3 linked regions of the Rhinolophus ferrumequinum genome follow. Each later gene encodes a partner of the first gene's protein in a complex. Links are inferred from orthologs where the notes say so. Each region holds a gene or a part of one and is shown on either strand. Other genes may lie near its edges.

What was found.
Region 2: the proteins of DOCK5 (region 1) and ELMO1 are in contact, whole or in part, in a cryo-EM structure (PDB 8JHK), measured with the Homo sapiens proteins. The link is inferred for Rhinolophus ferrumequinum from reciprocal best matches to the Homo sapiens genes DOCK5 and ELMO1. Residues at the interface, in NP_079216.4 of Homo sapiens: Met1, Ala2, Arg3, Trp4, Val14, Ala15, Ile16, Tyr17, Asn18, Ser22, Gln23, Gln30, Ile31, Gly32, Asp33, Thr34, Glu39, Tyr41, Gly43, Trp44, Arg46, Tyr48, Lys56, Ile58, Pro60, Glu61, Thr62, Tyr63, His65, Leu66; in NP_001193409.1 of Homo sapiens: Ile7, Val8, Lys9, Ala11, Tyr18, Pro19, Leu21, Glu23, Glu36, Asp39, Gly40, Ser42, Asn71, Gly72, Gln392, Asp393, Leu400, Glu401, Lys468, Arg531, Glu535, Leu536, Lys539, Leu547, Gln550, Gln551, Asn554, Arg555, Asn582, Thr688.
Region 3: the proteins of DOCK5 (region 1) and RHOG are in contact, whole or in part, in a cryo-EM structure (PDB 8XM7), measured with the Homo sapiens proteins. The link is inferred for Rhinolophus ferrumequinum from reciprocal best matches to the Homo sapiens genes DOCK5 and RHOG. Residues at the interface, in NP_079216.4 of Homo sapiens: Val232, Phe345, Asn393, His394, Lys395, Gly396, Trp400; in NP_001656.2 of Homo sapiens: Ala121, Pro123, Leu126, Arg127, Arg128, Lys130.

What each region holds. Positions count from the first base shown.
Region 1 is NC_046301.1:41,910,373-41,920,906, reverse strand, and holds the start of DOCK5 (dedicator of cytokinesis protein 5), read left to right. Parts: upstream 1-5,987; 5' UTR 5,988-6,211; coding exon 6,212-6,254; intron 6,255-10,534. UniProt on the Homo sapiens protein: Guanine nucleotide exchange factor (GEF) for Rho and Rac. GEF proteins activate small GTPases by exchanging bound GDP for free GTP. Along with DOCK1, mediates CRK/CRKL regulation of epithelial and endothelial cell spreading and migration on type IV collagen.
Region 2 is NC_046303.1:7,347,083-7,357,121, forward strand, and holds the start of ELMO1 (engulfment and cell motility protein 1), read left to right. Parts: upstream 1-6,289; 5' UTR 6,290-6,418; exon of another isoform or gene 6,419-6,606; intron 6,607-10,039. UniProt on the Homo sapiens protein: Involved in cytoskeletal rearrangements required for phagocytosis of apoptotic cells and cell motility. Acts in association with DOCK1 and CRK. Was initially proposed to be required in complex with DOCK1 to activate Rac Rho small GTPases.
Region 3 is NC_046294.1:47,341,668-47,352,213, forward strand, and holds the start of RHOG (rho-related GTP-binding protein RhoG), read left to right. Parts: upstream 1-6,102; 5' UTR 6,103-6,246; intron 6,247-6,765; exon of another isoform or gene 6,766-6,912; intron 6,913-10,546.

The sequences.
Region 1 (10,534 bases):
CTGGGACAGGTGATTGTTATCTGGAAGTGAGTGAGTTCGGGAATACTGCCCAAATATGACCCCAAACAATCCTGGGATAAAGCCAGACCTGGAGATTGAAGACTACCCAAGAAAAGATTGCTTTAGTTTTGTACCCTTTGGCCAACACCTCCTCACTGACCCTCGCTCCCCCTCCCCCAGCCCCTGGCAACCACCATTCTACTCTCCATTTCTATGAGTTTGGCGTTTTAGATTCCACATATAAGTGAGATCATACAGTATTTGTCTTTCTCTGTCTGACTTGTTACGACTTATTTTACTTGGCATCATGCCCTCAAGGTCCATCCATGTTGTTGCAAATGGCAGGATTTCCTTCCTTTTCATGGCTAGATAATATTCCATGGGGGGTGTGTGTGTGTGTGTGCCATATATATATATATATATATATGTATATATATATATATATCACATTACATCTTCTTTATCCATTCATGTATGGATGAACACTTGGGTTGTTTCTACATCTTGGCTCCTATAAATAATGCCGTAATGAGCATGTCATGTCCCCCTTTAGAAGTTTCCTTGTTTGATGGGTACGAAAGCAAATGCTTGTGTGCTACTTGTTACAGAGGTTTAGTTAAGGTTTTTATTTATAGTTCCTATCATTCAGAATAGAGTCCAGAAGGGCTAGGCCAGTAGACAATTTCCCAAAACAGATACTCACTGTTCTCAAAAGTGCTCCATCCGCTGATTTCTAGGCAACCTTTGGTCCTTGGAGTCCTTCTCTTCCGATGACTCCTGTTCGAGGAGCTTCTCTTAAACGCTTATGCTACGGACTTCCAGATCAGTGCCTCCTTTATTACCTCGCTCCTTCTCCTGGAGGTCCCCAGCCTTCCCACTCACCTCAAAAGGTGGCAGTTACAGATTAGAGCAGGGGTTGGTGAACTATGGCCCTCAGGCCAAATCCTGCCCACCACCTGTTTTTTGTACAGCCTGCAAGGTAATGATTTTTTGATGATTGAAAACATGATTTAAAAAATTAAAAGAATATTTCATGACCTATGAAAATTACATGAAATTCAGATTTCATGTCTACAGATAGTTTTATTGGAACATAGCCACACTCTTTTGTTTATGTATTGTCTATGGCTGTGTTCCTGCCACCATTGCAGAGCTGAGTGGTTGTAAGAGACAACATGGTTGTAAAGTCTAAAGTCTAATATAGATATGGGCCCATTATAGTCAAAGTTCACTGACCCCTGGTTTAGGGCATGGATCCTGGAACCAGTCTGCCCAAGGTTTGAATTTAGTTCTGCCACCAACTAATTGTGTGGGCAATATCTTAACATGTCCTGAGCCACAATTTCCACATTTGTAAGGTGAGGATGACAATAGTTCTGTTTACCTCATTAGGCTGTGTCGGGATCAAACAAGTGGATTTAGAATAGTGCCAGGCACAGGCCCAAATTACAGGCCATAAAAGTTAGTTATTATTGTTACACTACAGCTGGTGCTATGGAAAAATCTGTCTGGTATTAAACAAAAATTCTCGATCAAATGTTGGTTTCTTAACTGACCTCAAAGTAATAGCAAGAAAAATCTACTGAATATGACAGTCATCTAAACAACATAGTAACGGTGTGTCACTGTCGTGAAGGGACTCCAGGACGAAACTTCACTCCTGTCCCAGGTAAAGGTCAAATTTAGGCATTTGACTTCCTGCTTTTCTACATAGTCCAGGTATCTCAAGAACCAGTTTATTCTCTTTTACGTTGTTTTAAAGAAGTTTAATAAATTTTTCCATTTTTTTCATGTTCTTTTACAGTCATTTTCCATGTAAATGTGTAATTTATATAGTTATAATCATATCATGGCATAAACCATTTAATTATTTTTACTTATGCTTACATCACAATGTTTCCACATTGATTCTTAGTTTTCATCTCTTGTTTTAAACAGTTTTATGAAGATATAATTTTTCAATACATATAGGAATTTTTCAAGATATATAAACATACTTTTAAAAAATTAAGGAGTTTTCATTCCTTCCCACCTGACTATCCATCTAGTTTTCATCCATCTAATGACTTCGAATTGCTTGTCATCAACTTCTCCCAAAGGTGATATTGGAGCACATTTAGATATTTGCAGCAAAGAGCATTCTAGAAACAAAACTGAAAGCTTTTTGCTGTGATCATGAAAAGAGTGAAAGTGCTTACCAAGCATGAATCTCACAGGGAATGAGGACAGGAATAGCTTTGGAATGCTGACCATCCTCTCCCCATTCATCAGAGAAACTGGACATACAAAGCCACGTGGCAGAGCTAAGGACAGACTCAAAGGTGCTCACCCCTCAAGTCATGGGGTGCGGGGCAGAGAGTCTACAGTGATGTGAGTTTGTGACGTATATAAAAAAGAGGTTTCTAGGGCTGTAGAGATCAGCTCCTTTGTCCATTTACCTCAGGGCTCCCAAATTACAATGAATCACCCCACTCCTAACTTACAGAGAATCACCCTGTCCCAAAGAATTTGCCTTCAGAAGATTGCAAAGTGGTGCTTCGAGTCAATGACATTCCTTTTCCTTTTTTTTTTTTGCTAAGTCTAGCAACTACACTCTCTCATATCTCATATGTAGGATCAAAGAGTGAGTCTCCTCTATCTAGAAAAACAAAAGATGCTCTTTCACTGAATCCACAGCGTCTCTCGTAGAAGCCATCCAGTCAGCCAGACTTGGCGAAGTCAACCTGGTAATCAATGGAGGAAGTGATGTGCTTGGCAGTTTTGTTGACATCCATCTAGTCTCAGTCATTATAAGGGATAGGCACAATATGCATGGCAAACTACCCTTCACATTCATTTATCCTCACTGCTTTCTCCAAGGCGCCGCTTCAAACAGAACACTCGTGTTGGTGTATGCCTAAGTATGTTTGCATTTGTGTGGGTTTTGAGTCGAATATCTCTGGTTGTAAATACGCTTAATGTTTCTTCTGAAAAGAAATCAGAGGAAAAGGAAAAGGATATTTCTGGGAATCAAGCTGTTATTCCACCTACCCATCTGGTTGACTCTCTAATTTTAAGCCTCATTTTAATAAAAGACTTTGAATAGCACTGCTTTTATGATTTAAATGGCCTTTCCAATTGAGATTTAACCATCTGATATAACAAAGTGGGTGGACTTCAGTCTTCAGAGGAAACAGAATAAACATACTCAAAGCTGTAATTTAAATTTTCCATTTTCCTCCAGCCCTCTTAACACAATTATTGTCAAACTTGAAATAGCCAGGGCTTAAATACAAACCTCAAGTTTTGCAAAAATCTTATAAGGCAAGGGTGGGGAGAGGTAGCTGAAATCATTTTGGTAGAAATCCAGTTCCACTGGATGAGCATTGAACACTCTGATGTGTATTAAGTTTACAATATATCCATGGTTAGAGAACACTGGACATCCAATCGTCTTGAACACGGAGGATGGAAGAAACTTTGTGAAGCCCCATCCCAAAATGCTTCAGTTCCTAGCATTGTACATGAAGGAGTTACCGAGGAAGGTATGAAAAAGTGAGTCCTAAAGAAATATCAAAAGAAAACTTTAGTACAGAACAACTTGGATATAAAGGATAAAGATGAATTAGACATCACAGATGACCAAAAAAAAGGCAACTCTATGTTCCAGTAGCTCAAGCCTCAAATCTTAGGGTCATCTTCGACCTATCTTGTGCCTTGACCCAGGGACAAGATCCAAGGTTTGTGGGGCCTGAAATGTATATAGTGAGGCTCTTTTTTTTTTTTTTTAAAGAAAAGCATTATTTAGGGGGGCAAACTTTCCAAAAACATATGCTGATGAAAGTACCCTGAGGGGTCCAGAAGCCTCAGTCATTTCCCCTGTCCACACTGCCTTTCTCTTGGTTCTACCTTCAATATATTTCAAGAACCCAACCTCTTTCCCACCTCTCCACCTACACTCCTGGACCCAACTACCTTCATTTCTTGCCCCAACTCCTTAAATTGCCTTCCATCCTTCTGGTCTTTTCGCATCTTCCCTTGTGTCTTTACACTCTGCTTCTCCCACAGCAGGCAAATTAGATCATGTCCTTGGTTGGCTCAACACACTCCAAACCGCTCACAGTAACAGGGAAAAGTTCTTACTCTGCTTTCCAAGTTCTTACTATGCTTCCCATGTGGCTGGGACTACGTTTCCTCCCACACTCTGCTCCTTACTCACCTGTCACCACCTGGTATTCCTTGATGTTTTTGGAACCTGTCAAACATGCTCTGGGCCTTTGCATTTGTTCTTCCTGAGTCCAGAATACTTTCTCTGGAATCCTTACTTCCTTCCTGTCTGGATTTCATTGTCACCTCACCAGATCAACGCCATCCCACATGCCTTGCTAACCCAATCACTATAGAACAGAACCTCTCCCATCCTCCTTGCTGTGGATTTTTCTCCACAGACATAGCCTCTTTGGGCATACATTCATTTGCTTATTGCCTTCATCACTTCTTCTAGACTGGAAACTCTATGATGAGAGGGATTATACTTTATTCATTGCTGTGATCCATTCTTAAAACAATGCTTGACATATAATAGGTCCTTCATAAATATGTGTGGAAAGAAGAAATTACCTAACCTGGGGAGTTAGGTTAATCATGATGGCAGAGGAAGAGAGAAATTTCCGGGGAGATGGTGGAATTCCTTCTGTTACCATTGGCAGAGAAAATAATCCTCATGTCCCTTCCCTGTATTACTTCTAAATGTTAGGTTTAAAGTGACAGATTTCTTAACTTATTATGACACTTTATGGGTAAATACCTATTTGCGGATGAAGTAGAAAGTAAACCTAGAAGTTAGCCACCGCGAACAGGACCTCTTTTTAAAAACTTCAGATCTGACTTTGCAAAATGCATGAATTCTTCAATCAAGTTTTACTGTTTATCTTCCTTTCTTTTCATGTTCCAAATAGGCAAGAAAGCCATCGCAGACTGCAGGGACAAAGTTTCTCTCAAATGTCATTTTCTCAGACGGTGAATATAAACCAGGTGGTCATTTACTCGGATTTTTACTTCCATGTGTGAATTAAAGACCTCCCCACCATCCACGCTTCATTCTTGAGGTCTCTCCAGGAGGAAGTGAGTTCCAGGAGGGCAGTTTTAGAGGGCAACAACAGGAGCCTAGGGCACTTCAAAAGAGCATCCGTGCGTTTGGCTCTTCGTTGAAACAATACAGTCAGTGAACCAGAAGACTTGGATGTGCCAGGTCCCCTTCTCCGTAGGGATGGTCTTTGCGCGGTTGGTCTGCTGGAAAAGGGAGGCATTGGGGCGGGCTTTTCCCTTGAGCATGAGGGTCTGAGTTCCCCCGAGGCTCTCCTAGGAAACCATTTAATACGTCCGAGGAGCCCGTCTGCCTTGTATCTGTTGTCTATTTACCAGAAGACACACATGTTCCTGCTTTGAAGGCTATAAACGGTGGCCACAGGAGATCAAGTCTGTCCTGGAGTCCGGCTTCCGGCTCGCGTGGTGTCAGTTAAAGCTCTAGGGGGTGGACGCAGTCGTCAACTGCTCATTCATTCAACAACTATTTACTGAGGGCCGCCGAGTGCCGGGCACTGGAGGTGTCCCGGGGGCGAAAAGCAGCTCTTACTGGTACATTGCGGTGCCCCCGGGGCCCCGGCGCGCGCAGTGGGGACGCAGCCCGCGCTCCTCGCCCACCCAGGGCCCGGCCGGCCGGCCTGGGGGGGCCCAGCGTCCCAAGCGCAGCCCTCCAGACGCCGGCGCCGGGGAACCCGCCCCCACGGAACCAGCCTGGAGGGTTGCATCCCGGAGGGGAAGGCGGGGGAAACGCAAAATACCAAAAGTAAAGCCCAGACCCCAGTCTGCACTGGGAAGCTGCTCCGGGAAGTCGGCCAGGCGGAGAACAAGCTGGCCTGGGCCGGGGAGAGCGGGCGGGAGAGGCCGGTCCTGGCGCGGAGGCGGGCGGAGGGCGCGGCGGGCGGGAGGGGCCGGGGCGGCGCCGCCGCCCGGCCCAGCAGGTGACCACGGGCCGGGCCGGAGCCGGAGCGAGTCCCGGGCGGGCGCGGGCGGCACAGGCAGCGCGGAGCCGATCCGTGGGGTCGCGGAAGTTTACCGGAACATGGCGGAGGAGCCCGGGGCGCGCAGGGGCGCCGCGCGGCGGCGGTGGCCGGCACCCCAGGAGCTGTAGCCGCCGCAGCCACAGCCGCCGAGGGGCGAGGTCGCCGCCATGGCCCGCTGGATCCCGACCAAGCGGCAGAAGTACGGAGTTGGTGAGTGATCGCCAAGTGCGCGGGAGCGGCCCTGTCTGGCACGAAGTTGGGCGGCGGATTCCAGGCACTGGGTGTGCGCGCCGCCCGGGACTGGGGTCCGGCTCCTGCGGCCCCGGGGGGCGCAGTCAGCACTCCACTCCCGCGGCGCAGTCCGGGGGCGGGTGGGGAATCGGAGTCCTCTCCCCGAGCAGGAGACCCGCAGGGGAAGTCACTCCGGGCTTTGGGAAGCCGAGTGACTAAAAGTGCATCTGGGCTCCGGGACGGATCATCCTGTTCCCGAACCCAAAGCTCAAGCGCCTGGCATAGTGGAAACGTCAAAGGCGAGGGCGCTCGCGGGTTACTCCTTTAGGGGCCCCAGCTTCGGTGCTCGCGCCCCTCCTCCCCACCGTGCGGTTTCATTCAGGAGTTTGTAACCCGCGGAGGACCGCTGAGTGCTGCTCGCTGTCCAAGGGCTTTCTGCCTCCCTCTTCTTCGGTTCTCTCTGAAGCCCCAAAGTGAGGAGTTGGAGGGTAACAGTTGTGAAGTGAATGGGAAACTCAAGTTGTGTGGATGTGATGGAAGAGACAGGCATTTTGTGACATGGAACGGGGGTGGTGCCCCCCGAGGCCGGGGCTCATCCCCTAACGGAGTGTATGGAGAGGGTTAACGACAGCCTTCTGAACCCCGAGTTTCGTCGCAAAATCAGATGAGGACACTTTATTAGGGAAACCGTGACAGATCCCGCGCTAGGCACCTGGCATTCGTAGCAGCGGTGCGGGAGGGCTCCCACGGCGCGCGGAGGGAGGGGTTGCTGCTGTGTGGGTTTGGATCCGAAACAGGCGGGGTTTTGACCCAGGTGGAAACCGTGGTCCTTCGACTTTCCATTAAGGAGAGAGGTTGCTCAGGTCTCGTGGGGAAGCTCTGCCGTAGGGGCGATTAGGAGCGACGCTCCAGTAGAAACACAGATGTGTGCGTTGAGAATTTTATCGCTTCCTCTCAGGTTCATTCATTTGGCCTGTTTGTAATCTCATCGTTTACTTCACTCCCTTCCGCGCCCCCATTTTTCCTTCCTCAATGGTGCCTAGGACAGATCCCTGAACCTAGTTAGTACTTTCAGATGGCGAAGTGATTTCAGAGATCCGCTTACTATCTCCAGATGCGGTTCAACTCTGTAGCCAAAGCAACAACAAACCCTCTCATGTTTACTATATTGTTCTTAGATTGTGATCCTTTTTGTGTGTGTGTGTGTGTGTGTGTGTGTGATAATACATGTCCATACTATTCCTTGTTTTTCCCCTATTCCCAAAACGTATTTGATTTTTTTTTCTTTCCTTTAAAGTGCGATTAGTACAAATCCTCGCACTCTCCTGTGGCTACAACTCAGAAATCGTTAGGTGGTGTTTCTCCTGCCCCAGACCACCCTGTCATGATTTGCTCATGAAGCTTCAGAAAGGGACGCTTAGTCAAGTGCCAGTTAGTAAGTAGTCAGTAGTTACGGAAGTGAAATGGTCTAAAATAAACCATTTTGAGTATTATCCAGTACTAACTACTAAATTAAATCATATTGAGCAGTGCCTAAGTGTTCATTACTACTTACAAAATGGTTCTCAATTCTCATTTTGCTTACCAGGATAAAAGCTGTTTGCAAAACGATTAGGCCTTTGGTGTAGTTAATGCAATCATATCCTACAACTGTGGTTTTTAGTGCCACAGTCATAGGAGCAAGTATGAGACGTTCTCTCTTTTTTACCCTGTGCTGGATTCAGGTTACCTTGTTAGTTTCCATCAGTCAAGGAAAGTATTTGAATTGCATTTCCAGGGCATAGGTGGTAGCAAAATTGCCCCAAGATATAATTTTTGACACTCGTGTCACTGGACACAATAGATTCTGATTAATCTGTACTTGAGGGAAGGACCCACTCTTAGGACAGATTATCTGACAATAAATCACCATCGTTTATTCCTAAAACACATTGTTACTCATATCACCTCTCTGCTTAGAAGCCTTCCTTGGCCTACAGGGTAAAGTCTAAACTGAGCCCAACTTTCAAGTTTCCCATAATCCAATTCAACATATCTTCACTGACGTTATCGCTCTCACTGCTTCTTTCATTAACCCTCCAGTGCAGACACTGCCCTTCTGGCTCTTGCGCAATGTGCCACGGAGAGTCCCTCCTTTGGGACTTTGCCCCCTTCTGCTTGTCCCTGTTCAGATTGCCCTCCCACCTTTGCATCCCACAATGCAGAATTTCCCTTAGGGCTCAAATCCCTCCCCTTTGCCACCTTCAGATTTGGTATTCACCAGACCTCACACCTTCATACCTCTCCCTCACAATTCCTACATTGTGCGATCCCTTATATTATTACTTATCCTCTTATCCTTGAATCCAATGAACCAGAAGGTTATGGTTTTGTACCCCTGTCACTCAAGAGATATGCTACCAGGTATAGGGCCTTCCTGTAGTAACTGCTTGTCCTTCGTGTTGAGGTGACATCCTAAAGCACTAGCCTAACTTTTTCTGTGAGGATTTAAAGCTGGTTTTTCTCTATTAGGTTTTAGCATCTCATTCGCTTCAAGATGAGGTTTTAGCATCTCGTTCACTTCCATATGAGGTTTCCTTTGTTCTGTTAGATGGACAAAGTGAGAGCCTTCAGTCTGTCTTTACCTTTGCAAGTAAAAATGTGACATGTGCTGCTGAGAAACAAGGAAGCATAGAATAGATGGGCTTGTTTCAATGTAATTGGGAAAATTGGCTTGTTGGGCTTTTGGGGGGAGGATTGTCGTCACTTCTGTGTGTCTGGATGAAGAAAGCCATGTGATGGTCATTTTGAAGCATTTTAATGACTCAGAGCTACTCTGAGAGTAGCGCTTTGATCTCACTGTGAATTGTGGGCGGTGAAGCTAGCACCTAAAGAGTGCCTAAAGAGATAAGTGAATTGCCGAATACCAGGCGTTCTTACCTTTTTGATTGCACGAACCCTTTTGGCCATGAGGTTAAACTGGTGGCCCCCTTTTTCAGAATCATGTTTTTAAGCGCACAAAGTCAAATATGAAAGATTGAAAATGAATCCAGTTGCATTGAATCCTCTACTGCCTTATGTTATCTTGGTGCTACTATTGGCTGTCCTCACATAGCCTAGATTTTTCTACAGGGACTGAAATGCTATCTGTCTGGGCTTTCTTTAGTTCTTAAACATAGCATTGTTAGTTCAACCTCTAGCATTAGGTGGGCTTAAATGACCTATGTGTGTTATCTGGGTTATCAAGTGAGAGGACCCAGAGGCTTGCTTCTTTAAGCTTCTGGTCCATTAGTATCCACGTGTGAAGGACTTAGTGCCTAGTGTTCATCCCCACAGCCATGGAAAACTCTTTCCTTTCTTATTTTCTTTTCCTTTATTCTTTCTTTCTCTCCTTCTTTAATGTGTTCTATTTAAAGATCTGAGGGTATAAAAGTTTTTGTCTAGATTTTAAGCAAACATTCGTGATAACTATTCAGATTAGTCTTCTGAGTATTGGAACATTTATTTTAAGTTTGCTCCCGAACAAGCTATTTCTATCAAGAACAGATCTAGAACATGTGGATGATGGATTCTTTGCAAAATAATTCATTATTGTTTGTTGGGATTTATGATGTGTATTATTACAGTGTGATAAAAGGTCGTTTGGAGGACGATTTGCTTTCACTGTTAGCTTTTCAGGTATTTAGCTGTGCTAGGCTCAACCAGTCTAAAAGCAATTAACTTTGTAGACTCTCAACTGCTGGTGTAAAAACTGAAACCAGCCTTGTAGCTCTTTGTGAATGCACTCAGGTGTGCTGTGGGTTTCGCCCATTTCCTCCTCTCCCAGCAGCATGTGCCATATACTATAGCTGCAGGGGTAGAGCTGGGAGGAGTCACAAGAGAGTAACTAGTCCAGTTCCTTTTAAAGAGAGGAACTAGGTGCCTAAAGAGATAAGTGAATTGCCGAATACCAGGCACCAGGCGTTCTTACCTTTTTGATTGCACGAACCCTTTTGGCCATGAGGTTAAACTGGTGGCCCCCTTTTTCAGAATCATGTTTTTAAGTGCACAAAGTCAAATATGAAAGATTGAAAATGAATCCAGTTGCATTGAAATACAGTTGTCAAGGTATTTTTAAAAACTCGTGATATTGTAATATATGTGCTTCTTTATTATTATATTAAATAGGAAAATCTAGTGGCAGGTCTAATAACTACTATACTTTTGAATTAGTGATGAACATATGTGATTTTTCAAGATATCTGCAGTAACCATAATCTGATGTGAAAATGTCTGTGATT
Region 2 (10,039 bases), on another chromosome or scaffold:
TTAAGATATTTTCAGATATGCAGTGTCTCAGAAAAATTGAGCTCCCATTCATACTTTCTGAAAAAAAAAATTATTTGGTTATGTATTTCAGTGAAAAAAGAAGTCTTAGAAAGCAGAAAACCAAGGTATTCCAGAAACAGGGGAAATAAATACAGCATCATGAGAACTTCTAGGAACACAGTGAATAAGTAGGCCACATTGGGACAGAAAATCTGAAGACTCCATAGAGAATGTCTTCAAGGGATTCCATTTGTAAGAACATGGAAGACTTGAATAGGCTTTGGCAATTTAAAACTCCAAGAAGGGGAAAACACAAAGAAAGACATGGCGCCTCCATGAAGGAGGACACTTAGCACCTTAGTCCTAAGCAGGCAGGGATCTGGGTGGTATACACAGCATCTACTACAAGTGATTATGAAACAGGTGCCAATTAGAGAATCTGGACATTTAAACTTCGATAAAAAATAAAAACAAACAAACAAAAAACCTAAATAAATGGGAAGAATGGACAAGTCTGAATTAGTGATCTGGAAGACAGAGCCAGGGGGTTCTCAGGGAGGGCAGTACAGACACCAGTGGGAATAGAAAGAATGAGAGAAAAGTGAAGTGATATGAATGATAATATCACAAGGTCCATTAATTAAAAAAAAAACACAGAATGTGATGTTATAATCAAAGAACTAACAAAAGAATTGGGAGATAGGAGTAAGTAAGCCAAAGTTTTAGAAATCTTTTATAGAAGGGAGTTAATAGGTACTGTATGAAGCTGATAAACCAAGAGATAATAGTGTTGATAATTAAAACCGTGGCATTAATCACTGGAAGAATTAAAAACAGAAATGATGATGTGTGTTAACCTCTAGGAACTAGGACTGGGGTTAGGAATGGGAAGACTTTTACTTTTCATTTACTATTTTACACTTATTTTTTTTTTAACAATAGACCTGTATTTTGTGAAAGTTTTTTTTTCCCTTTTTTTTTTTTTTTAAAGTAAAGAATATTGATCTTTCCACCTATCCTGGAAAAAATCCATAACCATTACAAGTGCATACTGGTTAACATGCACATTGGCTCCATTTATTGAGTATTTACTATGTGCTGGATATTGTTTGAGAGAAGTATCATCATCCAATTATCCTCATTTCATAGGCTCAGAAAAAAAATACAATAATTTGTTCAGGTCCCGTGGCTATTAAGGAGTAGAGGGGAGATTTCTTTCCATGTCTGTAAGACTCCCAAGCCTGGACATTTAAATACTTTGTCAGTTTTGGTCTGATGAGATTCCGGGGTCAATTCTCTTGCCATTTTTACTGTACTATTGTAGGGATTCCTTGAGTGGTTCATCAGTGCTATTCCTTTGACTTGGTCTTTGGGCTGTGGGTGGTTAACTGTGGATATAGATCTGAGAAGTCTTAATAAATGCCCTACCAAACCAAAATCCAAACAGGGGAGTACATACGGTTGCAGTCCATAGAGATGTTTTTGGTTTAAAAGTAGGGTGGGATGACTAGAGCAGAAGGGGACTGGTACAGAGTAAAGTTTCCATTTTGGCGTGGATGTCCTGAACAATAGTATAATGGCTAGGAAATGGGAGCATGTTGGAGATGAACTCAGAGCAGTGGTGTCCCAGAAATGATCATTGGCCAAATAAGAGTGGAGTCAAGGCTTTCATTCCTTGACCTGGGGGCAAGAGTTGGAGGTGGTATCCCACTGGACACAAGACTGCAAGAAGGCCCATCAGGTTCAGTGTTTGGTGAGGCCAAGGCGGCAAGGTGAAAGCAAATGGCTTGTTTGTGAGCCTCCTCGACTACGGAGGATGAGCAAACCTTCGATTCTAGGCCCCTCTGCCTCCTTTGTAACATTTCAGTTTCTCCAGTTCTCCCGAGCCCCCTCGGTTAATGCATGATAGGCTCCTATCCTCTCTAGCTTTGGCTTACTGCAGTGACTTCTTGTTTGTACTTCCCACGTGCATTTTTGTCTCCCCTTTAATCCATTCCGTATTTAGTAGGATGAACCTTTAAAACAAAAAAGAAAAAAAAAGACGAAAGTGACCGTGACAATCTCTTGCTTAAACTATTTCACTTGGAAAACAAACCAAAGTAAAACAAAAACCAAAATAAGTTTCAGTGCCTTCCTATTATCCTTAGTATATCCAAATTCCATGATATGACTCTCAAAGGCTTCCAAATGTTCACTTCTGCCCACTGCTCTTAGATTCAATTTTGATATTCTCACACTTCAACCAAATTGACCTTTTAAGGTTTCTCCTACACTATGATTTGTACAGACCTTCATACAAACTGCTTTTTTGGCCTGGAACCCTTCGCCATCACCCAAGCCACATCCTTTCCCCTCTTTGTCCTGGCTGACACACACACGCATGCTCACTTGAGGTCTCAACTCAAGTGCAGCTTCCTCGGGGGGCTTATACAGATGATGTTAGCCCCTAGGGCACTGCAACTTCCTGGTGTTAGGGTACTCAACAGAAGTCTGTCTCCCTAACTAGGAGACAAGTGCCAAGAGGGGGCGCCCCGTGTTTCTCATACTTATCATTGTAGCCTCCCTTTCTCTCGCAGTAGCTCACATTTCAGGCATTCTGTGCACACTGAATTAATGAATGATTGACAGAAGCAGTGCCCTGGTACAGCAGACCCCCTTGTTACTTTGATGTCTGGGGACTGCCCCAGACCTTGTTATCTCTGGTACAGCAACTTTGTGAAGGCCACGTTCTGCCCCGAGAGCTGTCTGAAGTCTGGAGTCAAGCCAACGTGAGCCTGATTCTAAGACAGGGAAAAAGAACAGATTCTTCGAGCTGTAATAGATCAAGGAAGTTGAGGCTGACGGGGGCAGAATTCTGAAGCAAATTACTAAATGCATTATTAAATGCACAGGGCCCATTGGGAGTCCAATAACTGTTCTTTCTTTTTAATGAATTAAAAATGAATATCTGTGAACACTTAGAAAGGAAAGAGGTGACCAACATGAATCATCATTGATTAAAAAACAACAGGCCATTTTTGCAGTTTGGGGTCTCATGGTGCCATTTTGATGGCCTTCCACTCACCCTCCTACCTTGGATTCCGTACATAGAAGGAGGATAAAGACATGGGGACCACAGGATCGAGGTATTAAAATCTGGGAAGTTCCCCCAAACACCTGTCCATCCATCAACAAGGCAAAGATGTCTTGTAAACATAGATGGGGAAAGCAGTTTTGAATTGGGGCTTCCACGAGTTTTGTTCTCCAGCCAGCAATCCCCCACCTGCTTCCTTTTCTTCAGCTCATCCTGAATCTGAGCTGGGTGGTCCTGCAGAGGACACCTTGAATCCACCTCCCTCACACTTTCGATGTAGATGAGGCGGGCCTCGCTCCCCGGGGCTTACTGCAAGTGCTAGTGAACGGCTGCACTTGGATTCTGACTCTGACCCTCAAATGACCCTCCTCTCTACTACAGCCTGACCTAGTGGTTGAATAGCTCCAGCCCTGACCAGGAGCTGAAATAAAATCAGAGCAGTAATATTAGCTCTCTCCATCCCCTGCGGCTACAAACACAGATGTGGGGAAAAGGAGGGGACAATGCTCTTTTTCCGGACTCCGTTACCATGACTTATTGATTAGAGGACCCGAGTAGATAATAATAGCTAAGCTAACATTTATTGAGTGCTTCTAGTGCCAGACCCTGTTCTAAGAACTTTACATGTGTTAACTCATTTCTTGCTTGCTTAGCCCTCCCAGGTAGTTATAGTTTTAAGCCCGTGAATTAAGTCACCTGCATAGGGTAATGCAGCTAGTTAGTAAATGGCAATGCTGGGATCTATACCCAACAAGCAACGTCAGAGAGGGGGCCCTTACACATGACAACACTGCTCTACTGTGAGCACTGAAGAGCACCAGCTGAACCCTGGGTGAAGGCGGGTTTCTCGAAGGCATTTGACACTTCTAAGATGTCTTTATGAATACAGTAGAAAAAATGGCTTGTCAACTGCACAGTGAAGAAGGTTATTAGTAACTGAATGATCCAGTGAATGCAAAGAGTATGGATCCCTACCATGGTGGAGGGAACCCCTCAGTGGGGTGTCATCCAGGAACCCAGTGCTCTTACCTCATCTGTGGATTTGGGGAGACACTGGATGCCTGAATCAAATCCAAAGAGCCTTCCTTAGAGAAGGTGGACCGGGAGCTTTAGTCGCAAAGACCAATCCTTGGGCATGGATATGGCCTAACAGTAACATAACACAGAGTTTACAGTCTTCCCTTTGCACTGAGATCAACGGCGAGATGTTTTCGAAAAAATAATTGACCAGAGCTGAGGCTGGATCGAGTGTTTTTAAGCATTGACAAGAGCTCGGGCTAACTGATTATATTAATTAGTAAATTAATTATATGACAACTAAAATGTTTGGAAGGGCAGAGACAGGTGTCCTTGAAGGGGTAGATGACTAAGAGGAGAGACATTTGAAACCATATCACATGAGGAGGAATTAGAGTAACTGAGAGTGTTGAATCCTCAGAAGAGAATGACTAGTTAGAACTCAGGGTGTATCTTTAAAAATCTGAAAGGTTATCTCTTGGAGGAAGGATGGGACTTACTCTGTGTTGGCTGCAGAGGGCCGAGTTGGGAGCAAAAGTTACAGGGAGGTGGGTTTGCCTCATTGCTGTGCAAGGAGGGGGACAGAGTTCCCTTACTACTCTTGGGATGACGATGACAGCTAATATTTACTGACTGCTCAGACTGTCTGCACTCAAGTTAAGGTCTTATATGCCTTGGCTAGGAAGTGGTGGATCAAATTCATAGTAATCACCACAGCATCTCAGAGCATCATTAGAAAATGCTCCTTTTACCAACTGCTTATTAAATTACCTCATTTGATAGTTGCCCTGTTGACTGTTATGATTATATCATTATTTTTTTATAGATGAGAAAACAGAGAAGTTAAATTACTTTCCTGGAGTCATCCTGCTTTGTTATTATTGGCTTCTAATGATCTGGACCCAAGTATTCCTGCTACTAATACTTCCTCTCAAGGTTACACGTATAATAAGGGGTCAGATCAGGGCTGTTCATTAGAGTATAAGGTGAGCCACTAATGAGAGCCATATGTGTAATCTTACTTCTTCTAGTAGCCACATCCAAAACGTAAAAATAAACCAGTGAAATTATTTGAAGTTGCATATATATACTGTTAACCCAGTTGCATCTAAACTCTTATCATTTGCTGAGCTGATGTCATCAACACTAAACTCATGAACAACCTATTTTACATTCTGTTTTTCACACTAAGTCCCCTGTCTATTTTCCACTTACTGAACACCTCAGGACTAGTCACATTTCAAGTATACAGTAGCTGTTTGGATCTCTGCTCATGAACAGCTCGCACAGGACTACAATTTAAATCTCCTGGGGGTGGGGATTGAAATTTAAAGGGGAGCTCTGCCTTCCAACTTTGATTCTAAGGCCTCCCTGCCCCCAACTTACCTGGTTGCCAATTTGAATGGAATCCTCAGCAACTGCCTTTGCCTTTTCTGGTAGAGCCAATGTAGATATTTCTGAATTTGGAAAGGACAGGTGTTTCTCCTGCAACCTTCCAACAACTGTCATTTCCCTCTTGGCAGCTATGCTGGGAGAAGACGTGTTTGATTTCTGCTTTGAAAATGTCTGAGGTAGGTTGCATGAATTAAATAATGTACTCTAAATACCAATTTGGGGGTGGAACATCTTGTTTTATGCAAATTCAGGGAGGCCCTGGCGTAACTGATCAGGAATAAATCTTGTCGCCTGTACATGCCTTCGTGAGGGTTAGGGGAAGGCAGCATGATGTAGTTATTTTTGCCATGCTGCCCAAGGAGAGGGGTAGAACGTCAAAACAAACACACCAGCCTCTTAAAGGAGCTTTAAAACAACCCACCGAAGTTTCCCCTCAAAGTTCCAAACCAACTGCCAAAAATGAAGGTACGTAAAAAGATGCCAGGCGCTCTCGGTCTCCTTAAGGTGGCGCTCTGAGGGTGACGGAGTTAATTAGTGCCTGCAAAACGCCGCGTGTGAGCTCATCCGAGAAGTCCTGCTCTGTACACTGAGTATTTATGGCAGATCTGAGGCGGCCACGGTGTTTGACATTTTCTTTTTAAGTAAGGGGACTTCAAAAAGTCGTGGGCACTCGCCCCCACCCTTACCGCGCCCCAGGCAAAGTACCAGGCAGGCCCCAGGGCGCAGGCGGGCGGCGAACGCGCCAACCACGCTTGTCCAGGCGCAGGTGCCGGGGGCGGCGGCGGCCACTCCGCAGCGTCCGCTCCGGAGGAGAGTTCGCGGCTGATCTCTGGATGCCTCGCAGCTGCAAAACGTGTCTCTGGCCAGCAGGAGGAAGGAAGAGGAAGTGAGAGCAGCGGCAACCGGCGGAGCAGCAGCCTGCGGACCCGGAGTGTAAGTGCGTGTGCTCGGGCAAGCGCTAGCGGGCGAGGATGGGCACGGGATAGTCAGACCACCCACACCGCCGCGGCCCCGAGCAGGGCGACAGAGCCTCCGGGCCCCCTTCAATGGTCGCGGGTCGCCAGAGGTCTGTTCGCTGGGAACCTTCGCTGCCACTGCTGCTGTCCTGCGACCCCGGGCAGGTTCGTAAAGTTTCCTGAGCTGGCGCGGAGCCCCGGCTCGCTGACCTCGGCAGACCTGGGGGTGGGGTGGGGACGGAGGGATGGGGCTGGGGCAAGGAGGAGGCGTCCTGCTCCGGGGACTCTGGTCGCCTCGGAGACACTTTTGTTTCCTCCCTGGGGGCGCCGCGGCTCGGGCGGGGGTGGCCGCGGCGTAGTGCGGGGTGAAGGCTGCGGGCGCGACGGGGCGCTGGGCATTTGAGGAAGTCTGGGCAGAGGTGGATGGGGGGCTGGAATGGGAATGGGAGCGGAGGGAGGGGCCCCCGGGGATGGAGAGCGGGGCCTGGGGCCCGGGAACCCGGAGAGACGTTTCGTCCAGGGCCGGCTGGAGGGGGCCGCGGGAGGGCTGCGCTGCCGGCGACTGGGATTTGGGGCCACGGGGAGTGAGAGATTGGGGGCTTGCAGTCACTGGGGGCTGCGCGGGAGAAGGAACTGGCGGCTCGGACTCCCGGCATTTCTCGAGCACTGGCAGACGGGAGGGAATCCCCCAGCGAGCGCGTTCCTGGGAGGGGGCGGTGATGGGCTGGAGGGAGGGAGGGCCGAGAGGGACTGGAGCGGGTGGATGGGGCAGCTGGGAGTCCCGGGGGCCACTGTGAGCAAATACACGCCTCCCGGGACACGCCGAGGTCCCGGTTGGGACCGGCAAAAATGGTGGGGGGCTTCGATAGAAGATACCGGCATCAAAGAGGGGGCGCACCCGGCGCGCCTTCAGAGAAAGGGGGCAGCGAAGCTCGGGGGTCCCTAAAATCAGAGTGGAGAGGGGCGGCGGAGATGGCAGGAGTAGCTTTGAGGAAGAGGAAATACAGAACTCAGCCGACCCGGGGGTGCGCGCGTGTTTGGGGTTGGGAAGTCCGTGTTGTGCCGCGGGCGCGCGCGAGGGTGGTGAGAGGGGGTGTGTGTGTGTGTGTGTGTGTGTGTGTGTGTGTGTGTGTGTGACTTCAAGGGGCTTTGGAGCCAGGGACTCCCCGCCGAGTGACCCTTTCCCGCCTGGGGGCCCTTTGAAGTTGGAAGCTTCAAGCTGGGGTTGCTGGTGTTGGAAGCTGCGTTGACCTAAAGCCGCAGGGCTTGGCCCCCATAGTGACCCGGCTCTGGGCCTCTGGACAGCTCCTGAGACTCACGGAGTGTGTTTTGTGATGCCCTGTGCTCAGGGCACGGGCCTGCTAACACCGCTGTTCATGAATGATTTGGACCTAATTCGTTCTAGTTAAGGTTTATTTCAGAGAACCTAAGACAAGGGTTTGTGCCTCCCGGGGTGGAGGCCACAAGGTCCCCATTTAGGGCTGCCAGTGACTTGGGGGTGCGGTGGGGGGACAGTGGAACATTTTCTGAGTTTTTTTTTTTTTGTCCATAAAGTAAAAGGAATTAATGACCTGTATGTTTACAAAGTATACATACATGTAATGTATATACATACATGTAATGACCTGTTTTTATATAATGACCTGCATGTGGATATCAACTGTTTGAGGAGCTAGAGGGATTTACCCCCACTTTTAGATGGAAAAGACCTGGCTGGCAGCAGCTGTTATTAAGGACCTCTGGTCATGATTTTTCATATTATCTCACCTCCATACCCGCTTGCCAAGGTTGTTTCAAGGATTCCAGGCCCCCAGTTTACAGAACCGGGCATTGTGAGTTAGAAGGCCGGATCGCCTGCTGTCACCCAGCAGACTTTTCCCCTTAGAACTGACCTTTCACATCTGGGCTCTTTACTAGGTACATGTCCTATCTTTCCAGGGCTGTGGTTAAATGTGTATGTGACCTTTCCTACTCAATTTACTGCTCAGAAAAGACAGTCTTTAAATTAGACATACTGGTTGTCTTCTTGGGAACTTGTGAGGGAAAGACCTGGAGTGTTGCAGCTCTGTAGCGGGGGGGTGGTTTTGGGAGGGAAGGGAATGGGGGAAAAGCTTGGTAGGTGTCAGGGAGGGGCAGGCTGGGAGGCAAGCCCAGAACTGGGTCTGGTGGGACTGAGGGCCTGGAGTAGCCACTGGGCTATAGGGTGGGTGGTGCTGTTGATGGCCATATTGCCACCCCCTCCATCCCTCACCATGTCTCATCTCTCTGCCCTTCTTAACTGCACCCGTTCTGACTGCCTTACACTCTTTCACCAAGTTCTCTCCCCAGGGCCTTTGCATATGTTACTCCTTTTGAACAGGAGGTTTTTCCTACCCGTCCACATGGCTCACTCTTTTACTTCCTTCAGGTCTCTGCCCAGCTGTCAGCTTCCAGGGAGCCTTCCCTGAATACCTCTTATAAAATAGCAACTTGCCACCTCCTGCTCCTCAACTTGCCACCTCCTGCTACTCCTTACTCAGTTTTCCTTCTTAGCACTTACGAACCTCTGGCATTATATATCGGTTTGTTTGTTTGATTATTGTGTGCCTCCCCCATTAGATAGGAGTTCCACGAGGGCAGGGACCTTGTCTTGTTTACAGGTCTAGACTCTAGACTGATTCCTAGCATAGTAGGTGCTCAATAAATATGTGCTGACTGGCTGAATAAGAGGTGCCTGTTATAGGAGAGGTTCACCAGGGTAATATACCAGCAAAATATTGTAGCACCAGCGGCAAGAAAGGTGCCCAGGTAACAACAGACTTTTGCTTTTTCTCCTCTCTCCTGTCCCCAGTGCCCAGCTGCTCTTCTTGCAGACCCCTTTCTGCCTTGAGTAGAGCCTTCCCTTAGAATTTCAGCCTGAAGAAAGGAACAGAGAGGTGATTTCTTGGGACAGTGGTAAATAGGTACAGGTTATTAAGAACGCATTGCCACTCTAGATCTGGTGTTTGTTTTGTCATTCCCCTTGGAGAAAGTCTGTCCAGAGTATGTTGCTTTCCCCAGAGAAATCCTCCCCTAGGAAGAAGGACTGTGAGTGGGGTGAAGTCAGAGACATCGCTAAATCCCAGTCTGCTCTCCCAGCAGGTGGAAGTGGAGAGAGAGAATGAGAGGCAATGAGGGAGGAAGGAGAGAGGGGCAGGAAGAAGCTGGATGGCAGATGCAGGGGAGAAGAGAGAAACACCTAGGAGGAGGAAAATGACAGAGAAAACAGTGAGGGCCTTGTGCAGTGCTACTAAATCATAAGCATTTATGAAATTGCAGTTGAGTTAGGACACTGCATAGTGTTTTAAAGTATTTTACCCCCTTTGGGTGTTTGGTGTGAATGGGTGGGGAGACATGGAGGACGGCAGTGCTTTGAAGCCCTTGCTGAGAGGATGTGGCTGGGGCGGGCCAAGGGGCTCAGCTGAGGCACACTTGGCTTATGTTATCATCTTTGTTAACACTGAAGGTGTGGAGGTAGGTCATTTCTACAGAGGACTCTTCCCGGCTGGATCTATGACAGTGGGTACCCTTAAGGTTTGCTGCCGAAGCCTGCAACCACTTTTTAACGCCTGAAACCAGC
Region 3 (10,546 bases), on another chromosome or scaffold:
AACACAACTCAACTGTACACTTAAAAATGGTTAAGATGGTAAATTTTATGTGTATTTACCACAATTGAGAATAAAAATAAATACTGTCTGGGAGCCAAACCATGGCCTGGACAATAGGAGGAACATTCTGGTCTCCTCTTTGCCTCCAAGATCATGATATGACATCAGAAAAGCCAGTTCCATTCTTGATCTCAACCTCCCCAACTATAGGATAGATAGGTACCAGATTATTGATCTAGTTCAGCTTTAATATTCTATAAGACAGGATAATCCTGAGACCTCATGGAAGTGCCTGGATCAAAAGCTGTGACTCTCACCTCAATAGCTCCTATGTTGGGTCCTCATGTGAGTGTAATGTCCGTAAGAAGAGAGCTTTTCATTTTTCATCTTTATCATTTTTAATCCTATATACGAAGCCTTTACCATGTGCCAGGTGTATGTCTCTTGAATCACTCTGAGGGCTTTGCTCCTAATAGATAGTCTGCAGGTGTTGATTAAATCAAATTGGATGAAGAATTCTTATGCCTCTATTCCACAATTTGCAAAAGTTTTCATATCTATTATCTCATCTCCTCCCTCACAAGAGCTCTACTAGATTGGATGCTATACTAATTTTACCGAGGAGGAAACTGAAGCTGAGGAAATGAAGTGGCAACCACTTCAAGCTCTCTTTCTCCTTTGGGATTTACTCTCCATCCTTCAACTCTCAGCTCCAGTGAAATAAAAGCACCCATACCTTGACCAATGGTGACAGCCTAGCATCAACCAAAAGTTATGATTAGTTTAAAAAAAAAAAGTCCAGCTCAAAAGTCACCCCTTCCTTCCTTTGGCACTTTCCCTGACCTGCCCTGTCTCTCCGGTCTCCTGCTATACCTTAGAGAACTCATGTAACTGGATTGTGATTATCTAATAAGTATCTATCTTCCCCATTAGCCTTAAACTCATCACGGACTGCATTTCATTCATCTTTATATTCTCCCAGGCTGGGACTTTACCCAGCACATACCCGGTACTTAATAAAAGTGAATAAATGATTGAGTGAATCAATGAATGATGTGTGTTCTGCACTGCAGTCTAGCTGTCATTCTTCTACACCACAGGGCTTCTGGTTACCAATAGCTTTCATTTGGAAAGTGAGAGAATCTTCAGCAGAAGTGTAACAGAGTCTTAAATCTCTGGCTCAGAAAAGTTTAGGAATCCCTGAGTTTGGACTGTGTTATCAGTGGAGCTCCCTGGTGTCCAAACATGGAAAATACAGCCGTCACTGAGAAGCTGCCCAGGGTCTTGACTGCGTAGGGAATGAGGAAAGAGAGATCTTGGCTTCTAACAACTCTTCCCAACCTAGTTTCACAGAGAATCATCTCCCCTGCCAGAATCAGTTTTAGAATCTTACTGCCATTGTTCACTCATTCATTTAACATCCATTGAGTAGCTGGTTCCTAACAACCCAGTTCATACCCTCAAAGTTTTCAGGGATATGAAAACTGAGCTCTTTGAGGGTATGAGGGTATGAACTGGGTTGTTACGAACAGCTACTCAATGGATCCAAAATATATAATATATATATGGAGAGAGAAAGAAAGAGAGAGAGAGCACGCGCAACTAGTACTTGTTGATAATGTCTTGAGAGAAATTGGTACAGGGTCGGGTGAGGAAGCACGGAAGAGGGACAAGTAACTGCCTAAAGCAGTCAGAGGCGATGCAGAGGCACATGGATGGGTAAGGGTGAGGGGTTCTGGAATTAGACTACCTAGATTCACATCCAGTTCTGCTGTGTGACTCTGGGCAAACTAAGTTGCTCCTGAACACCCCAGGGCTGAAGGAGGAATTTCCCAGAGAGGATTATCCAGGTGACCTAGGTACCATCCAGTTCGGAGAACCTCAAAGATGCAAAGATGTCCTGGAGGCAAACAGGACAAGTATCGTTCTGCCTGCCTGGGAGAAGGGACCCTCCTGGAGAACAGGCATGCCCTTCGTCCTCCTTTCCCCCACCCAGTTAGTTCCTCAGAGGGAATCGGAACAATGGATCATAGGATGCTACTCTAGAACTTAGTTTCATTTGTCACTTCCCATGTTCTCTCTGCTATCTTCTGTCTTGCCCATCATTGTCCCATGTCACAAAATGGGACATCAGGCTGTCTTTGGGGGTAGCAATGAGGGGAAGACTCCTACTTCTACTCCTCAGGCAGGCTGAGAGAGCAAAGAACAAAGAATCAAGAGGAGTCTCAAAAAGGTTGCATCCCTGGAGCCACGTCAGAGACAAAGGAAAACTCAGATTTAGGGTTAGCCCGAAGAGGCTGGGACTGTGACTGAGTGGAAAATGCTTGTGGGCCACTGGTCACTGAGCTGGAGCTCAGTGAGGACAGGCTGGGAAGACCCATTTGGAAGCCACCCTAGCCGGTGAGACCAGTTCAGGACCCTTCTCCTCTTCCTTTCCGTCTCCATCCTGCCCTTTGAGGGGGACCCAATCAATCAGCTTTAGCATTTTTGACCTTGAGAAAGAGGGAGGAATTGGTCGGGGGCGAGGAGGGGGGGAAGCTAAGACCACTACAGGCATATAGAGAAATTACTTAATGTTTATTTGTTGTACCGCGGGCAACCTGCTAGATGCTCCACTTGCATTATTTCATTTAATCCTCACAATCCCACAAAGCACACAGTATTGTCATTCCCATTTTAAAAGGAAACTAAATGGCTCTGTTATATGCTCTCACAGCACTCTGTACGCTTGTATGATTGATTAACCTGTTTAAGATCTACCTCCCTTGCTAGTTGCATCAGGATAAGAGCTTGTCTATGTTTTCACCATTGCATCATTGATATGATACTATACCTGGCCCAGAAAAGGTTTTCAATAAATATGTGTTCAAGGAATGAATGAGAGAGGTCATGTGACTTGTCAAAGTTCACAATATAAGTCGCACAACCAGGATTTGAATCCTGGACTGTCTGGCTCCAGAACCTGTCTGTGATCTTTCTATCCTACCCTCACCAAGTATGCTGTCATATGCTGTCTCACTTATAAATGTCCCAGCTTAGTGTCCTTGTCTCTCAGATGCTTGTAAACACAAACCTACACCACCTGCCAAGAACTCACCTATTCAAGGAAAGCAAGTCAAAGAGTAGGAAGAAGAAATAGCCCATCTGGGATTGTACCTTCTTCTTACCCTCTTCAGCTCAGCATCCTCCTTCTCCAAGAAGCCTTTGCAGACAGCCCTACTTATCTACCTGTCTCCCTCTCCTCTGGCCTATCAGCCCTTCCTATATCTGAGCCACAAAAGTGATTCCAAGTCACCTAGCTTCTGATGGTTTTACACATATTAGTGCTTTATTAAGGCAATTTAATTCCACAGATGTATGTATACTGAAGGCAAATGTGCACTCAGGCCTGCCTATGCCAGGCCCAGTGGGTGGACACAGAGATGAATCAGACACAACCTCAAAGGACTTAGGCAGTGGGGGATACAGACATTAGGCACAGATACAATTAACCAGAGCACAAAACAAGACAACCTAAATGGTATGAAAAAACTATGAGCAATATGCTACATGCATAAACCTTAATTACTTAATTATTGTTTTGAAGAGTGTATCATAGAAGGTCAGAGCTCAAAGATATCATCTGGTTCAAACCCTTGTTTTCCAGTGGAGGAATCTAAGACCCAGAGAAGGGTGAGGCCTAGCCCAAAGTCTCATTAGCCAGTCTGCCTGAGCCAAGATTAGACCTCAGGTCTTGTCTTCCAGTAGCTTCATATACAGCAGTCCCATATCGCACCAGACCATGAAGTTCTCAAGGCCAAATCAGGTTCTCCCACCTAAGCAAGCTAAACCAGGGCCAGGCATGCCCAAGTCTAACCCCAAGCTGCCAATCCAGCCTTTTGGTCTACTGCACCCTACTTTTCCGTGTACCTTACTTTTACCACTATGAATCTAAAACTGATATTCAAGTATTGTTACAGAAAAAAAATTTTTTAATGACTTCTTCATCCAGAACGGTAGTATATAAATCAGATAAAAGTTAACCAACTCTGGTTAAAGGAAAGGGAGCCCCACTATTTTCCTGCCCTCAAATCCTGGAAAGGGAACTCTAGGAACACAACTCAAAAACCTTTGTTCTGGGACACGATTTTTAATGGCTTCATGAAAGCTGTTGTAGTGTGTGGTCCTCCATGAAACCTTGTCTTTTATGGAAATTCACAAACCTTTCTTCACCATCAAATGCCAAGTACTAGCCATGTACTCCCAGTAGGGTATGAAGAGGAATCAGATTTTCCCCTTGTGTTTCCAGCTCTCCTCTCCTCCACAGAGAGGAGGTTTGTCCCAAGTACTATGGGGAAGGAGAAGAGAGACCCAAACTCTGCCTGAGGGGTCAGGGGAAGCCTCCCCAGAAGGATCATAGAGAGTAAATTCATCTACTCAGTCACTTACCAGCCTGTATGTGACGGAGACTCTGACTTCACTGTGTGAAGTCATACCCACTAGCTACATGTACTACTGAGCACTTGAAAGGGGTCTAAACAAAATTCAGATGTACTGTAAGTGTAAAACATACACCAGATTTCAAAGACTTAGTACCAAAAAAAAAAAGAATGTAAGATATCCTATTCATTTTTATAATCAATAATTTTATATTGATTACATGTTGAATGATAATATTCTGGATAAATTGGGCTAAGTAAAATGTATTATTAAAATTAATCTTACCTTTTTTTGACTTTTTAAAAAAGTATCATCACTAGAAAATTTTAAACTACATATTTGGCTCACATATTTCCACTGGATAGTTCTAGGAGAGACTCTCAAGTTCATGATAGAAGTAGTATGTGTGTGCTTGTTGGACTGGCGAAGATGGCAGCCAGACAGGTAGTATAGTCCATTAGGGTCATATCGTGAAAAAATAAGTTTATTTTTTCCCCTAGCATTCCATACAGGAAAGAAATCAGGCAGAGGGAACAGAATGGGTAAAGACTCAAAGATGAGGGCAGGCACATTGTGTTTAGGGAACTCATTCTTGTATTAGTATGATTATTTTTTAAAGGCATTTGTTTTGTGTTTACTTTGAGCCAGGCATTGACAGCAGGTCTTTTACATCCATTGTCATGTTATCTTCACAACTACAGGATGAAAAAGAGGTTATTCTATTTTACCAAAGATAGAATTAAGGCTCAGAAAGGTTACGCTATTTTCATTGTTCTTCCTCTTTATCTGGAAAGCCTCTTGGAGACAGGGAGCCCGTCTTAAGCGCCTCTCAGTTTTCCGGCACAGCGCCTAGCACTGGGCTCTGCACGTGGTAGACGCTCAGAAAGTTTGTGCTGAACTGAGGATGCTCATTCTCAAGTCAGAGCTCCAAGAGCAACGCCGGGGAACAGAAGCACCAGAGGGCGCCCACGAGTCTGTCCACCCGCCTGTCCCCAGGGCCGCTGCAGGATCTCAGGCCTGGGTGCGGCCCTTCTGCCCCAGCAGTTGCGCGTTCGGGCGAGAAGAGGGGGCGAAGGGAGCCCAAGGTCCTCTGTCCGCCCCGCCCCCTCCCCAGAGCACAAGCGCGCGGAGTGGCCGGGTGCGGAACGACGACGCGACATCCTGTTTTTTGGGGCCCGCGGCTCCGCCTGCGCCTCTGCTGATCTTGTCTTTCCCCGGGTGCTGACGCCAGCTCCCCTTCCCCCAGTCTCCGCACTCTCCCCAGGGGTCTGGGGCCTTCCCACTGCTGAATCACCACCACCCCGCACTCCCTCGGGGTTCCGGGCAGGGGTGGGGACTGCCCCAGCCTGACCCATTCTGACCAACGCCGAGCCTTGGATATCGCTCGACTCCTGGGCTTGAAGACATCAAGACTTAGGGGCGCCTGTTCTCAGCATCTTCCCGCAGGGCTTGGTGGGGGCAAAAACGGGGAGGGGGACAAAAGCTTAGAACCTAGGCTAGGGCCTCTACCGGGCTGGGGGTGGCAAGGAGGAGACTGGGAGGACTGACCTTGGGAGGACTGACGTTAAGAGCCTCGGAGGGAGAGGGCTGGGGTCAGGGAGCCCAGGACCGGGCCGGGGGCGAGGCTGGGGGTGGAGAAGAGACAGAGGGTGGGGGGACCGGCCCCACGGACTTCCTGGTGCGGCCCCGCCCCGGCCCGCCCCCGCGCTCCGCCCCGGTCGCCGGGACCGCCCCCCCCACTTCCTCCGGCCTCCCGCTCTCACTTCCTTCTCGAGCCGCCTGCTGCTGCCGCCGCCCCCAGCTCCCCCGCGGCGGGGAGGGCTCCAGGTGAGGCCCGGCGCGGGCCGGCGGGCTGGGGGTCCCGGGGAAGGGAGCCCGGCCGGTCCGGGACTGGGCACGGGCGCCGGCCCAGGAAGTTTGCTTGCGGGAGGCCGCGGGCGGGAGGTTCTGGGCTCACTGCAAGTTGGGCGGGCGCGGCCGGGCGGGCGGGCGGGCGGGGCGGGGACCGAGCCACTGCGAGCCGGCGGCAGCTCCTGGAGGGTGGGTTCCTGTACCGTGGGCGGCTGTACCGGCTCCCTGGAGCCGCGGGGGGCCCCTGAGATCGGAGGTCTCGCGCCCAGAGAGAAAAGTCTCTGAAGTGGAAGGGTTTAGAGTTGGGATGTGGGACTCAGAGGTGGGGTGCCCTCAGAAGTTGGGGAGCTATTCTGCAGTGAGTGGGGTGGGAGGGCTGGGCTAGAGATGGCGCTCCCACTGGTCTGGCAGTTGTGACATTTGTGAGGTTGAGAGGGGGGCGGTGTCTGGCCTCTCGCCCTAGCCTGCAGAGGACGAGCTTCCTCACTGGAAGATCGGTACCAACCCAGAACCTGCTCGCAGGCTGCAGCCCAAGGGTCCTCTGCACTCAGGAGGGCGCGGGAGCCCCGCTGACCCCAATCTTTCTCTGTGTGCGTCTTTTTGCTGAGGCCCAACCTCTCCATCCATGGAACCAAGCAACAGGTATTTGGTGAGCAAATACCTGCTGTGCCTGGCTGAGGGGTGCCTGGCCTTGCTCTTTTGTGGGTAAACTGAGGAAGAGAAAGGGCCTGGTCTTGTCCTGTGACTAGAGTTGGAAGGACTCTCATTCAGAGGTACTGATAGTCCCTGACAAGATGGCATCACTGAGAGCAGCACTGTTTTCAGGAGATGGAGAGACTAATAGGGCTTGTGGGAGACAGCAGGGGTTCTGGCCTTGGGAAATGATTAGGAGCCGTCTCCTAGTTGACCTCTCGCCGGCCCGCACCCCTCATTGGCAGTCTCTAAATTCTATACATTCTCACTTTGTCTTCTTCCATTCCTTCTTCAGACTCTACCCACAAACCCTCCATCACCCACTTCTCGAATCTTTTTCAGTTTCTTTTCCCCCAAACACACAGTCATGCCAAGGCCCTGACCTCTCACCTACCCTGCCCTTCTGTCCGTCTCTGTCCCCTGCAGCCTACCCCCACGCCCTTCTTTGCTTAGCTTCTGTCTCCCACAGATGTATCTACCCTCTTGCTTCTTCCATCTCGCTTCATTCTTTTGATCCCTCTGTCTCCTTTCCTTTCAGCCACTTATCCCCAGCTTTGGCGTCAGGATCTTTGGTGAGTTTCAGAGCCTTTTCAAACCTCCCCAGCTCAGAGAGGCAGGCTGCAACCTCCCAGTAATAGAGATGATTAAAGGGCTAGAAAACCTCTCTGTATGTGTACGTGCGTGCGTCTTGTGTGTCGACATTTTTATCTCTTGGAGACAAAATAACTGCTCTCAGCCTTGAGAGGGCCCAGAGCAGGGGAAGCCAGCAGAATGAAGGGAACCTGCAGTGAGTGCGGTTGTGGGTAGGGTAGGAGGAAGCAGTCTGTGGTGGTCAGGGTAGAGTGGCACAGTAATAAGACTGTTGAGAGAGGCCGTGGGAAATCAAAATCACTCAGACCGTTGGGTGCTTGATCAAGAGGCCAGGCCTGGAGGCCAGAGGACAGCCCGAAGGCCCCTGACTCCAGTGCTTACTGGTTCCAGCACCGCCTGGTGGGGAGAATGGGACCAAGTTTGCTAGGTGTGACAGAAGGAAAGGGAGGAAGCAAAGGCAGGGTTCTGGAGAGAAGACTAGAGCTGTTCTAACTTCATTCTTACCTGTTTTAGTGCCAATTCAGGAAAAGAACAGGAGCGGGAAGCAAAGGTATCTGCCCCCTCTGCCCTTCTTGCTGCCCTCCGGGGCCTGCCCAGGCTGGGTACCTACGTGCCCTGGCTGCATCAGGGCTTTGGTGACAGTAATCCTCTGCAGTCTGCTGAGCCCTCTGCCTTCAGGATTCCTTAATATTCCCCCTCTTACCTAAGATCCTACTCCCTCTCTTATCAGGAATTTCTCCTGAGTCTAACTTTAGTCCAACTGGCTCTGTAAGCCCTTTCTAGGGCTCTTTCCTCAAGCCTTTGAGATGCATGTTGTGAGATCTTGCTTCTCTCTGTCTCCTCCAGTCTACTCTATTCATTTCCCTCCACTAGGAAAAAAAGGGGGGGAGGGCAGCAAGTGCTACTCTTTTGGGATTCCCAAGCACAGCTAGATTTAAGGGCTATTCCTGTTCCCCATTCTGTCCTCTTCCATTCACAGCTGCCCTCTCCCATGAACTGTCTCTTCGTCCACACACCAGTGTCTTCTACTCTCATTTCTGGGAGGTATAAGGGGTTTGGCCCTGAGAGGAAATCTCGGGGACCTACATTAAATCCTGCTCAGGGAAGGATGTGCCTGCAGGACCCCCTCCCAGCATCACGGCTCAGTAAAAAAACCACCCAGGAGTCCTGACTCCCGCCTTGCCGATGGGTACTTATTTTAGGATTCTGCATAACTGAGCAACCCACAGGTCTCTGGGGGTGAAGATAGGACGGATGAGATGGGTTCTCCCGGGCACAATCTGGTCCCACTGGAGGTTTGAGCTAATTGCAAGAAAATCATTGCTAGAAAAAATATGACCAGGGTAGGAGAGGTCTAAATGGGAAAATATCAGGGGCGGGGGGTGCCTGCAACCTAGGAGGCTGCTATTGAGTTCTTGGCTAAAGAAATAAAGCCAAAGTCCTGACATGAAAAGAAGTGGCTGATGTGAGATTGTCACAAATCCTGGTTGGGAATCTAGGATCTGGAGAGTTATTTCTGGCAAGATGTTAGGGCAAATAAGGTGGGTAGTATGACCTTTTAGGGGGTCATGAGCGGGAAGGTATGAGAGGTTGTGGCTGTAGTGAGATGGTTGAGAAGATACTAGAATGAGGATGGATAGGCCCCAGGGCCCAGACTGAAGACCCCTCCCTCCATAAGCAGTGTAGATTCATTAGTGGTGAGGCTTGTAGAGATCTGTGAGGAGGGAAACCAAAGACAAAGTCTAGGCCAGAACAGATTGGTTTTCCTGTCCAGGATCCAGCTTCCTCTTTTGTCCTCCTGTCATGCGGGGGAGGGCATCTCCCCAGGAGCTAGAAGCTAAAGGAGGAGCTCCTCAGCTAGGACAGGGCTAGGATGGCTGTCTGTCCAGTAATGTCAGTTCTACATCATAGATGTCCCAGTATGCTCTAGGCATGAGAGCCTGAGAACTTAGAAGCAAAAAGGTCTCAGACATCAATCTGACCCCTTGGGTCCATTTCCTGAAGGGATAAATCATGGTAGAATCATCCTGAATAAGGCCAGAGTGATGGTGGGCCCATTCCTAGGCCTGAGGAACAATCCTCACCTTCTCTGCTTTGTAGAAGTAACCTCAGGCTGGAGGTTAGGAGAACCAAGTCCTTGTCCTGGATTTGCTCCCAAATCTCTGTATAACTCTGACCAACTTTGTCCCTCGTGGCTCAGCTTCAACATGAAGGAGTTGCCTATCAGTGCCTACACAGAGCGTGCAAAATACCGATAGTTCTGACTCCCCTTCCCCCAGAGGCTCCCCATAGCAGTGGCCTCCACTCCGGGCCCTCCTGTCTCATGCCAGCCTTGAGCTGACAGGCCTGAGTAGTCTCTAAGTATCTGTCCAGGGACAGGAACTGGGGCCCCTTGCCCCAAAGCCCAAGGATTGTTACAGGTTGAGAGATGAGAGCAGAGAGTGTTGGGGATTTTGCCAGGGGACAGCAAGATGGGAGAGTACCCTGTGCCCTGCTCCAGCTGTGCCCCACTGACAGTGGAAAATAGATGCCGGAGTTTCCTCCCTGATGTTTTTTTCCCTTCTGGAAACCCCCGCGGGCCTGGGGCCGGTCTGAAGGGACACGGTGATCCTGGGTCTCTGTGGGTATTTACAGGTGGGGGAGGCAGAATTGGGAGGATGGCACTTGTGTACAGCCTTGTGCGAAATGAGCAAAGGCAAAGGAAGTGCCACTTCACAGGCCTTTCATGGGGCCCCGGGACTGCTGAGCTGCTAGGGGGAAGGGAGGAGGAAGCAAGTGTTCAGCCTTCCTCTCTGCTGCCTGGTGGGGGAGGGGAGCAGCCTCCTTAGCTCCCCCTGCCAGAGCTTTCCGGTCCAGGGGCTCATGCTTTTTGGAGCACCCCAAGTACTGGAATGGTGAGAGAAGGAAGGGAACTGGGATTTGGTGAAAGGGTCCCATCCCCTAACTGCTTTCCCAGCTACAACTGTCTTGTTTCTTGTTTCCTCCTCCTCTC